Daphnia pulex: one gene and its partners. The protein of the gene in region 2 binds, or shares a complex with, the protein of the main gene of each other region. Links are inferred from orthologs where the notes say so. Each region holds a gene or a part of one and is shown on either strand. Other genes may lie near its edges.

The links.
Region 1: the proteins of GTP-binding protein Rheb-like (region 2) and retinal rod rhodopsin-sensitive cGMP 3',5'-cyclic phosphodiesterase subunit delta-like are in contact, whole or in part, in a crystal structure (PDB 3T5G), measured with the Homo sapiens proteins. The link is inferred for Daphnia pulex from reciprocal best matches to the Homo sapiens genes RHEB and PDE6D. Residues at the interface, in NP_005605.1 of Homo sapiens: Pro2, Gln3, Ser4, Gln57, Asp77, Gln176, Gly177, Lys178, Ser179, Ser180, Cys181; in NP_002592.1 of Homo sapiens: Ile53, Leu54, Cys56, Val59, Val80, Gln85, Cys86, Leu87, Glu88, Glu89, Trp90, Ile109, Glu110, Ala111, Ala112, Pro113, Gln116, Met117, Met118, Leu123, Tyr149.
Region 3: the proteins of GTP-binding protein Rheb-like (region 2) and serine/threonine-protein kinase mTOR-like are in contact, whole or in part, in a cryo-EM structure (PDB 6BCU), measured with the Homo sapiens proteins. The link is inferred for Daphnia pulex from reciprocal best matches to the Homo sapiens genes RHEB and MTOR. Residues at the interface, in NP_005605.1 of Homo sapiens: Lys5, Ser6, Arg7, Lys8, Arg15, Pro37, Ile39, Glu40, Thr42, Gln57, Ala62, Asp65, Tyr67, Ile69, Gln72, Thr73, Ser75, Ile76, Asp77, Asn79, Asp105, Met106, Val107, Gly108, Lys109, Val110, Ile112; in NP_001373429.1 of Homo sapiens: Arg62, His69, Glu73, Ala101, Thr102, Ile104, Gly105, Arg106, Asn109, Tyr110, Arg112, Asn113, Phe140, Glu143, Tyr144, Phe147, Glu154, Arg160, Thr969, Gln973, Phe977, Lys980, Glu1010, Phe1011, Gln1014, Met1018, Ser1050, Thr1051, Asn1264, Lys1293.

What each region holds. Positions count from the first base shown.
Region 1 is NC_060018.1:861,830-865,163, forward strand, and holds retinal rod rhodopsin-sensitive cGMP 3',5'-cyclic phosphodiesterase subunit delta-like, read left to right. Parts: upstream 1-1,423; 5' UTR 1,424-1,725; coding exon 1,726-1,766; intron 1,767-1,834; coding exon 1,835-1,897; intron 1,898-1,972; coding exon 1,973-2,108; intron 2,109-2,196; coding exon 2,197-2,318; intron 2,319-2,395; coding exon 2,396-2,477; 3' UTR 2,478-2,822; downstream 2,823-3,334. Other genes in the region: uncharacterized protein LOC124188871, read left to right, coding at 1-1,050. UniProt on the Homo sapiens protein: Promotes the release of prenylated target proteins from cellular membranes. Modulates the activity of prenylated or palmitoylated Ras family members by regulating their subcellular location.
Region 2 is NC_060021.1:5,206,264-5,209,475, reverse strand, and holds GTP-binding protein Rheb-like, read right to left. Parts: upstream 1,866-3,212; 5' UTR 1,724-1,865; exon of another isoform or gene 1,708-1,723; intron 1,648-1,707; 5' UTR 1,509-1,647; coding exon 1,454-1,508; intron 1,394-1,453; coding exon 1,322-1,393; intron 1,255-1,321; coding exon 1,047-1,254; intron 972-1,046; coding exon 842-971; intron 762-841; coding exon 669-761; 3' UTR 513-668; downstream 1-512. Other genes in the region: cullin-associated NEDD8-dissociated protein 1-like, read left to right, coding at 48-137. UniProt on the Homo sapiens protein: Small GTPase that acts as an allosteric activator of the canonical mTORC1 complex, an evolutionarily conserved central nutrient sensor that stimulates anabolic reactions and macromolecule biosynthesis to promote cellular biomass generation and growth.
Region 3 is NC_060027.1:5,106,152-5,110,167, reverse strand, and holds the start of serine/threonine-protein kinase mTOR-like, read right to left. Parts: upstream 2,813-4,016; 5' UTR 2,600-2,812; intron 2,484-2,599; 5' UTR 2,477-2,483; coding exon 2,384-2,476; intron 2,306-2,383; coding exon 2,039-2,305; intron 1,956-2,038; coding exon 1,857-1,955; intron 1,792-1,856; coding exon 1,598-1,791; intron 1,539-1,597; coding exon 1,343-1,538; intron 1,277-1,342; coding exon 1,115-1,276; intron 1,054-1,114; coding exon 884-1,053; intron 822-883; coding exon 650-821; intron 587-649; coding exon 316-586; intron 243-315; coding exon 123-242; intron 46-122; coding exon 1-45. Other genes in the region: RING finger and SPRY domain-containing protein 1-like, read left to right, coding at 3,171-3,409, 3,467-3,632, 3,696-3,881, 3,940-4,006. UniProt on the Homo sapiens protein: Serine/threonine protein kinase which is a central regulator of cellular metabolism, growth and survival in response to hormones, growth factors, nutrients, energy and stress signals.

The DNA of each region.
Region 1 (3,334 bases), on a different chromosome or scaffold from region 2:
ACTCCAACCGAGAAAAAGGCGCGTCGAGATGTCATACGAACCCTACGATCTCATCGTCGACCTCAGCTTTCATCTTGGAATGTCGTTGAGACCACATCCCCCGCTCGCTCCTGTAACTTACGGAAACAGTTGTTTGTCGATACTGATTCACTTTCTAACTCTGCAAATTTTTCATCGAGTCCATTGGCCCTGTACCTTTCTCCTGATACTGAAAAAGATACTCCCAAATTCTCTTCGCCCGATGGCCCATCACCTGCCTCATCTAGAAAATCTTCTAGGAAAAGTTCCACGTCAGAAAATAAAAAAACTAAATCGCCTGTCAATGAAAATAATGAAGAAAGTTACACTGAATTGAAGAAGTCGATCGAAGGCAACCTAATGGGATGCGAGGCAAGTCTGTCAGATGTTGAGCTAATGGATGAGATTGAGTCGAGCATCAATATGGACAATGATGTCATTTTTGTCGAATCGACATATAAAACAGATGATCATGCGGAAATTGAATTTATTATCCCGGAATCATTTCCTGTTATCTATCAGGATGCCAAACTTGATGAATCATCGAAATCATCTATTCATTCTGCCAACAAGAAAACACTAAGTCGATCATCACAGGAAGAACGTAGAAGAAGCTCACGATTAGCTGGTATACCTTTACCTCTAATATACTCAACTGAACCACTGCCAGACTGTCGAAGGTCGATCACCTCTAAAAGGACACCACTTCAGCAGCTCACTTCTTCAAAAGATAACGAAGTTCTATCCTCTTCTAAGAAGAAACTGCGGGCTGAATCTGTTGATGACCTACCGATACAGCCAATTACGAAAGAAACACCAATTGCAGAAGCAACTCCTCCTTCACAACTGGATGATCGTCGACAGACGGCGAGTTGGAAACAGGTTCGTTTGCAAATTCCACCTTGCTGGGCCGATCTTATTGAAAACCACATCAAAGAAAATCATCCGGACGAGAAGCTCTGGTACCAAGAAGAAGCATCTGCGCGCTGGCCAATTGTTTATTGCAACTGTGCCCAATCCAAGAGAGATTAGATTTCCCGCAACCGCTGGCTTAATCTTTTGTCAAATAGAGAAATCATCTATTGCAACAGAAGTGACAAGTATTTTTTTTTTTTTTTTGATAATTCCATATCAATTTTTGTGCAACAGAAGTGTCAATCTGCCACACCCCTATTTGGTTCTGTGTTCAGTTTTATTTTTTCGCGTATCCCATATTTCTTTTCGTATAAGATGAGAAACAATGGGTCCAATTATATTTTGGTTTACATTCGGTTTATTTCCAATCCAGCAATAAAACTCGTTCAATTTCTAAAACTTTCTTTCATGAGTCATGACTTTGCATTTTGGTATCGCAATACAACCATGTGGCAACGTCTAATGGAATTTCTTCTTATACTCTCGTCTATTGGTTTTTTGTTGACATCAAGAGAGTTGTTACTTGGCCGAGTACCCGGTGGCGGCTCTATATATATAATACGACTTTGTATTGATCCAAGATACCAATCAATTATCCTTATACAGAAAGTTTTACCCCATCTGTGTGTGTGCGGTTGGTCGGCATATACACTTTTGAAAGCGAACTCGTCCGAATCGGGCCTGCAGTCCAAGTGCTGCAAAATTGTATATTGAATAAGGGATACGTTGAGGTGGTCGCCGTCGTCCTCGTGTCGACTGGCCTGCGATTGAGAAGATCTGGAATCGAACGTAATGCCTTCCAAAGCCGAAGACATACTGTCGGGATTCAGAGTGTAAGTTGGTTTTGTCTCTTGGTTGTTTTCATATTTTGGAAATTAATTTAATTTATCTCATCTTGCAGGAACTGGATGAGTCTACGAGAAGTAGACACCGGGAAACTGCTGTGGCAAAACTCTGATGATTTGTGAGTTCTACTATATATCAATTTTAAAATTAGAAAGAAATAATCTATAATATGCTTTTTGACACTTTGTTTCAGGTCCCAGCCTGATGTTGAACATGAAGCCCGAGTACCCAAAAGTATTTTGAATTGCAGAGCCGTTTCAAGGGAAATTAACTTTTCCTCAATAGAACCCCTCGAAAACTTTCGACTGGAACAGAAAGTCCTTTTCAAGGTAGGAGTTTCCCATTTTTGATTTCGTGTTATAAAAACATGTGAGAATCAGAGAAATCTGAAACTGGATGTGTTGTGTTGAACTATAGGGAAGAGCATTAGAAGAGTGGACATTTGATTTTGGATTCGTCATCCCAAACTCCACAAACACCTGGCAATCAATAATTGAGGCTGCACCAGAATCACAAATGATGCCTGCACAAATTTTAAAGTAAAACAAAATTTATGCATTCTTAAATCAATTTGATAGAGAAATTAAAGCCAAAATTATTTTTTTGTTTTGTGCAGTGGAAATGTGACTATCGAAACCAAATTCTACGATGACACCCTTCTAGTCTCAACATCAAAAGTGAGGCTGTTCTACGTCTGACCCGATCTCTGCGTTTTTTCCCATTATTTTGTCGTCTCTTCATTTCACGTTCTCCTGTTACGTCCTTATGGCGATGGAAATAAGCGAAAACCGGCATTTTGAAGCGCTTTTTTACACAGTCTACACGTCGTGTGCCATCTCCTAACGCACCGATTTCGATTCGGTGCGACATCGCTACAATTCCGCTCACACACAAAGCTACACACGCTATTTGTTCGCGATCACCTGCCATACTTCTCGGTCAATATCTCATTTGCTGCTGCCGCTGTTATTCCTGCGCTCCACATTTTACCCGTTGACTGTCGGTACTACATAATAAAAAGACGATTCAATCGGTGTATAAAACTGGGAGCTCATGTTTATCCTTCGCGATCGGGATTTCTGATTTTAGGTAGATGCACCCATGCTATCGAAACATGACGGTCCCGTTTCAATGGGTGAGTCGGCGTTGTGTTGTGCGGGTACATCAGGCAAAGTGGATGTCGTTATTGAGCGGATTATAGTGATCTACTGCGTTGCCCACGTCTTCTGCATCTGCCTCTACTTGACATGGATAGCCATCCAAAATGCAATTATATCCCTACCCCCAGCCTCTCTCTCTCTCTCCCATCTCTTTCTAGTCGATAATTAGATTTCCTCGAGCTCTCCTACTTGTCTGTGTTCCTCGAGCTATGGTTGACTAGTAAATTACATGTCCAGCGGTGTAGAGCACAGTACTCGGTCGTGGGTCAGCCAGCCCCCCCCCCCCTTTTTATGGGGCGATATTTGAATTATTAGAGTGCGGAGAGGATGTGTATTATAGTAGATGGGGTGGGGGGTATCAGGGGAAAGATGCATAAGTGTGTGTCCGTGTGAGA
Region 2 (3,212 bases):
ACGTACTATTCGCCTAAACTTAAAATTTTTACACTTACCATTTTCAGACTCTTTTCGACTCGATCCAGAAAGATGGCTCCGGACATCATGGAAATGCTGCAGGTGGATCCAGTGATTCGAACATGGATTTAAGTTAAAGTGGTGTATAATTATGTATCTATTATCGAAAAAATCGGATCGGGGAATTGTCACGAATGAAACATTGTTTCGTTCTTTTCTTTGAAATGTCTATGGTGGATGAAAGGGAAGTAGGGGTACATGTATTAACCATTCTTCTTGAACGGATGCGTTGAACATTGTTTAAGTTCAGTTCCACTACGATGCACTTTTCAGCACGGTGTGTATCTTTTTCTGAGAAAAAAAGATCTGTTGCGTTATTTCATCTTTTCCCCCATGTCATTTTAGATATTCAAAATCGAGAAATACAACTTTCCTGCAAAATGTTAATCGTATTTAATGTTCAAAACCTAAATTTGGTGAACATCGTTTATACAAGATAAGAACCACTTACATAGTACAAATGATAAATGTATTTCGCTCACCATGAAAGCTTTTCAACGTTGCTTCACAAATCCAAGAAACCGAGATAACGGTCGTTATGAAAAACTGCGTAATATTAGAAGGGAAAAAAATTGGCGCTGGTAGATTTTTCTACATTTCATACCCGTTCAGGACAGAACACAACTGCTCTTTTCGTTTCCATTACTGCTATCTGCTTTCTCCATTTCCGTTATCAGTCGGTTAAAAATTTCGCAGACAGACTAGAGATGAAAGGAAAAAAAAAAAAATTCTTAATAGAAAGTACAATTTCAAATCTCCAAATGAATATTAATCAGCATACCTCGTGTGACCTAGCAGAAACTTCATAAAATGAGGCTTTCCAAGTGTCGGCAAGCCTTTTGCCCTCTTCTGTGCTGACTACTCTTTCACGGTGAAGGTCTGTTTTATTACCAACAATAACAAGAGGTATTCTATAGTGATGAAAAGAAACTGGTTGTCAGACATAAAATTATTGAGTGATGAAATGCTACCTTAGAGAAACTTACGTGATTTTACCAGTCATATCCATAATCTTTTCTAGCAAAACTTGTAACAGCTCAAAGCTTTGAACTGAAGTAATGGAATATACAAGTACATAACCATGCATGTCCATTGAATGTTGAGCTGGGAAAATAGCATATTCATCTTGACCAGCAGTATCCACCAACTTTAGCTCAAAATCTTGCCCTCTTACTTTCCATGGTTTGGTGAAGGCTGGATTTCAGTCAAGACAAAACAAAAATTAAACAGTGTTCCTTTACAACACAAACAAGGAGCATACTGTTTTCAATTGTAGGGTCATAAGAATCAACAAATTGATTTTCAACAAATTGGATGGTCAGTGAAGATTTTCCTAGGTAAATGAAAATTATAAAAAATAATCTAACATGATCTTTCAACTGCAACAACTTACCAACTGAGCGGTAGCCCATAATTGCAATCTTCCTCTGTTTTCTTTGAGGTGGCATGTTGGACTAGTATTTCCCAAGTTATGCAAGTATGTATGGCGAGTGCTTCTTACGTCATGCACTACAAAATACAAACAACACTTATATTTCAAAGCATATACTTTCAATAAGGAATGGTGAAAGAAATCAATGGCCACCACTTGCAACAGCATTTAAAAAATATTTTCATAAGGTACTTCATTAAGTTCATTATAAATACCAAGTAAGTTTAATACCTTCTTGTTCTGTGCTGCTAAAACGTTTCCTTTTAGATTTTTCTTTTGCAATACAAGAAAAGATTTTTACGGATCAAAATAACGTGTTTTCTGTTTAGTTAGTTGGACAGCTTCTTTACTGATTACAGCGTTGCAACAAGTACTGTTGTGGAGATAACAAATATGCGTATAAAATTTAAATAAAATATAAATAAATTAGAGTTTAAATTATAAATTTATAATACGCATCTTAAATGAACTTTACACTCAAATCTAAATAATATTACATGTAAAAAATACCAAACAGAGACTCCGTCTATAGCGACTGTCCCAAACAAGTTTTTTACTATGCTCTGCAAACTGTTTTGTTTTTCTGAACTTACAGATCGAGCGCTAGATGGCGAGCAAACTTCTGCACGTGAATCAGCACACACTGAAACAGTTTGCCGAAGGTTTGCACGTGATCAGCACACGCCGAATCGTGGCAAGTCGAAAATGGTAATTTCAATGCCAGATATTACCAAAGCCGAAACTGTAAATGGAAAAACTTACCATGAGAATTTCGTCAAACTAATTCGATTTCGTTAATCCTTCTTATTGCACAACTGAATGAGCCCTAGACATTATGAACTTTCATGTCCTTCGGGGAAGACCAATTGGTATCATGTGGTCACAGCATGGAGTATGCAGAGACATGATCACTTGGCTATGCCTACGTCAATTTCCAACAACCAGCTGATGCTAAGATAACAATAGTGAGTGAAGACTTATCGTTTATCCTTCTTATCGTACAACTGAATGAGCCCTTAGTCTACTGTATTGATTAAGTGAAAGTTGAGGAGTTGAAAAATTTTATTTGTTTAGTAGCAATGCAGTAGTACAATTTCTGTGTTTTATTTCAATTTGAAGTAAAATTATTCGTAATTGCGCCTACGGTGTTGTATGTCCAGTTTGCTTTCTCGCTGGCGACGTTGATGTTCTTCTCTTAGTTGTTCTCATCTATTATCTTCATCATTTTGACGCTCGAACTGACGACGCGGATCAATTTGTGGCTCCCGTTGTTGTTGAGAGTCCCGTTGTTGTTGAGAGTCCCGTTGTTGTTGCTCCCTTAGTTGTTGTTGCTCCCTTAGTTGTGGCTCCCGTAGAATGAGACGTGGTGGTTGTAGGACAAATCGTGTTTGTTGTGGTTGTTGTTGTAGGGAGTATAGATTTTGTTGAGGAATGTTATGGGGCGGTTGAGGAGTGTGTTGAGGCAAATACTGAAAAAAGTTGAAAAGGTCGGCGAGTAATGGAGGGAGCACAAACATGAGCATATGGAGTACTGGCACTGTACACAGTACCGCAGTCAGTATTTTGGAGGGACCGGGCAGGAGCGGCCGGAAAAAGGATGACCAACAAGAAGAACAAAAAAGACGGGCAACGTCATCGCCACAGCAACGCAAAGTGGAGTTTAACGCCAAAAAATTCCGCATGTACACAAAAAAAAAAAATGAAAAATAGAAGAAAAATA
Region 3 (4,016 bases), on a different chromosome or scaffold from region 2:
AGTTGTCGGCACAATGGCGAACAAATTGTAAAAGTAGTGGTTGACCTAGCGACACAAACAAAATTATGTTGAAAAATCTGCGTCTCTCGTTCATTGAATTTTAAATAAATTGGTTTTTTAACCTTGAAAATCAAAACTCCCCAACGTTCTTAGAGCTAAAACGATGCTATTGACGTCATCCCCATTCGATGGTAGTGGTTGAAGTGCCACTGGAGTGAGCGCCATATGATGTTTTGGCATTCCTAAAATAGAATGGATAAATTAATTCAAGTAGAATGTACTTTTCCAAATTCGTTGTTTAAAATAAAACCATGCCTGGATGACGAAGTGGTTGGTGCATCAAAACTAGTGAAAGCATCCGCAAGAGTCCTTCGGCAATGTCTTTTTTAAGATGAGGAATTCTCAAGGCCAGTTCACGAAGACAAGTTGTCAGGGCAGGACTAAGTCCAACGGACAGCATGGGATCCAGTAGATCCTTGAACTCACTAGTTAGATGAGAACGACCAACGGCTCGGCCAAGCAGACTTAGACAGACGAAAACAGCAATATCAGGGGGACTGGAGCGTTTTTTGGTAGAAGATGGGTCCTAGTTTGGAGAAGTTTCGAAAATTAAAGAATTTTTCTTCTTTACACTCTTTAGTTTCTCTACTTTATTTTGAGGTAGAGAAGTCCGAACAAAACTAATAATGCCAGGGAGATGTGTGGCAATATCCCCTTCAATACACACTGCTATATAACCTATAGTTATCATTGCAAGGTGAGGATTTTTTTCTTTGCGGGTCAAACACGCCATCAAGTAGCTCATCGAAGGGCCCAAATACCTGGGGAAATTAAGTATGTATGGTCATTTGTCATTTTAAGAAATTTTCCAAAAATTTAATACCTATCAGAAAATCGGGTTCGATCATAGGCAGCCAGTCTAGGCAGAATTCCCATCAAAGCTGCTTGTACATGGCTGCTTTTTGAGATGCTATGTCGAAGAGTGTTGGCACAAATTTCATCAAAATGATCAGCAGTCAATTGGCGGCATGCAGCGCTTTCAACTATAGGGTACTGTTTGTATAGAAAATTCGTTCAGGTAAGTGGAAGTATTGCGATCAATTTTATAAATCACCTGCTGGGGCGCAACTATCGATAGTGGTGACACGGCGCTGGCTATCCTTGATTGAGCGACATGCCCTGGCAAAAGCCGGAGATTATTGTAAAGTGTAGGAGTGTTGATTAATTCAACAGCACCGTTCGGCAACACTCGGGAAGTTGTAGAAATTAGAGAATCCTTTGGTAAAAAATCATTGAGAATTATCGCATTTGCTCAGGTCATACAAAGATCGGCATATTCAACCTGAACAGTCTGTGAATGTAGTAAATTTAATTGCTCTAGTTCAGCGAGAAGTCGTTCACCCTCTGCATTCGAACAACGTAGAAGCTCTTGAAGAACCAAAAGAGATCCATGAGCTCTGTCGTCCTTTGTTAGTCCTTTATCTTTGGCTAACGGTTCCTCAAAACCTTGTTGGGCCTCGTCAAAGCATTGTTTATACCTAATTAATGGTTAATACTATATCTTTATGTGTTAAACTTGTACAAGCTTGTTTATTACCAAGTAGGCTTTTGAGCTTCTTTAGTTTCTCGCTGAGATGTGACGACTAAAGCAGAGCGTAAAGCAGCAACTGCGCCTTCTCGAATCATTGGTTTGGAGTCCCGAACAGCATAAAAAATAACGTCAAAAAAAGTCTGGACTTGCTGGAAAAAGAAAGTTGGCATGGATAAAGCCAATTCTCGCAAAACCAGCACCTGTGAGAAATTGAGTTAAAACTTATGGTATCAACATATCGTTAATGATGTTATTTTTAACTTACCGCTGCATGCCTACGACCTTCATTTCTCTCGCCACTGAGCCACTCAAAGGCTCGTTTTACTTCAAATTCCACATACTCCGCGGTGTAGCTTCCTGATACCTGTTTTATTAAAAATTGCATATCTATATTTATCATCTGTTTTAATTATGTGTAGAGGCTATTTAGATTTTTGTTTAACTTGCCAGTGTCAATTTTCCAAGTGCCCTTGCAGTTAACTCCATTACAACTACATCCTGAGATGGAAGTAAGTTTTTCAAATAGTTGGCAAATCTAGTCATTCTGGCATTGGTATTTCCAACATCTACTTGCAATAAACTAACTATGGCTAGAATGCCACCTTTCTTTTCATTGACATCTGAGCTGGACACCATGTCAAATATATGGTGATTCAAATCATCAACAAATGAAATTACATCTTCCTGCAATGCCTCTCTTAACTCAGATGTCACCTAAACAAATTAAGACAACATTAAAACAATTCTATATTATTTCCTTCTTAAACATTTAGCTCTTTATCCTTCTCTTACATAATGGTGTAAATCTCGGGCAGCCTTTAGTCTCAAATCTTCACTTCTGGATCTAAGCCCAGTGATGAATGTTTGCATCATTCCGGTTGCCATTCTGTAACTGAAATAAATAAAAAGGATAAAATAAAGGAAGCAGTTGATATAAATTCAATGCATAATCAGCAACAACTCAAAGGAGTAGTTCGAAAACATTCAAAGTCAACTGTCGCCAATCACCTCGTACCCCGCTAGCGAAAATTGAAATTGGACACTATATGTTATTTTTCCATTCAATCAAATAACTCTTTGTCTTCGACAAAAAAAGATAAGCCTTATTTTAAAAAGAATATGCAATACGCGAATTCCACAACGTGTAATTACTAATTAGACTTTACAGTATCAGTATGACTTATTTTAATAAACAAACTTGTGGACTTCGACATCTGACGGAAGAAAAAGAAAACTCCAAATTGTGTTACTCCTCATTAGGCATTAGATACTATTAGATGTCCGGTGAAAGGATGGCTCTCCTATAAGCGCCCCTAGCGGATATCTATGTTCGCGTTATAAGCAGCAGACGATACCTTTTTCATCGAATTTCTCAATACTAGATTACCATCCATATTTATAACATGGTTAAATAGTGCTACTGAAATTAATTGTTGAACAACGTCAAATCCATTCCTGGTCAATCCATATACACCCACTTATAAACTTAACTAAGATGGAGATCAAATTGCACGTTTGAATAGTGACGATCTCTCTCAAATAACATGTTCAAATTTAATTTCCACTGAAGCAGTTAAAAATGGGACAATGCTTATGTTGTGACGAAAAGGATGGGGAACTACCCTCTCTCTCAGTGCCTCAACCAGAAACTGCCAGCCTCCCAAGTCCACTGCAATCTAATATTTCAGTTGATAGAGACAGAAGTTTCCCATCTCATGTTATACCAGCATCTGAGGCCTCACACTTGAGGCGAATGCTACCCCATATTGACAGTCTTGTTTTGCAGACATTAGCTGTCATAGGAAATTTAGTTGAAAAGTATGTTTTTATTATATGTTCCTATGTATCCACTTTAATTATTCCTTCTTTGTTTAGTGATCAAGAAACACCTCCTTCAATGTTAAGATTACAAGCTCTTTCTAACAAAGGGCATGGTTGGTTGCTTGTTCTACATTCCATGGTTAATGTAATACCCATTAATGAACCCCTTGGACCTGCTGTCATCACTCTGGTGCTAGATGACTGTGCCTTACCAGCAAAGGTAAGATTTTAATCATATGTTAGACATTGTTGCTAGGTTAAATTTTCACCATTTTTTTTTCAGGATTCCATTACTAAAGTCCCCCGGATGTTTTGGCTGTCAGCTAAAGCTAGTAAAAGGGGAAGATCAGATCCTAATCGTCACAGGAATATTTGTATTGCATTGGGCTGCATTGCTGAAAAATTGGCTGGGCCTACAAGTGTTGCTTTGCTAACTGACAGCACATTGGATTACCTTATAGCCAACCTGGTATGTCTGACAATCAATCTTTGGTCTCACTTTATTTTCAACAATGTATATCTTTTAGGATCCATCAAACCACCCACCAGTAGTACTGTTTTCATTAATTGCTCTTGAGAAATTTGCTCAAACAAGTAAAAAATA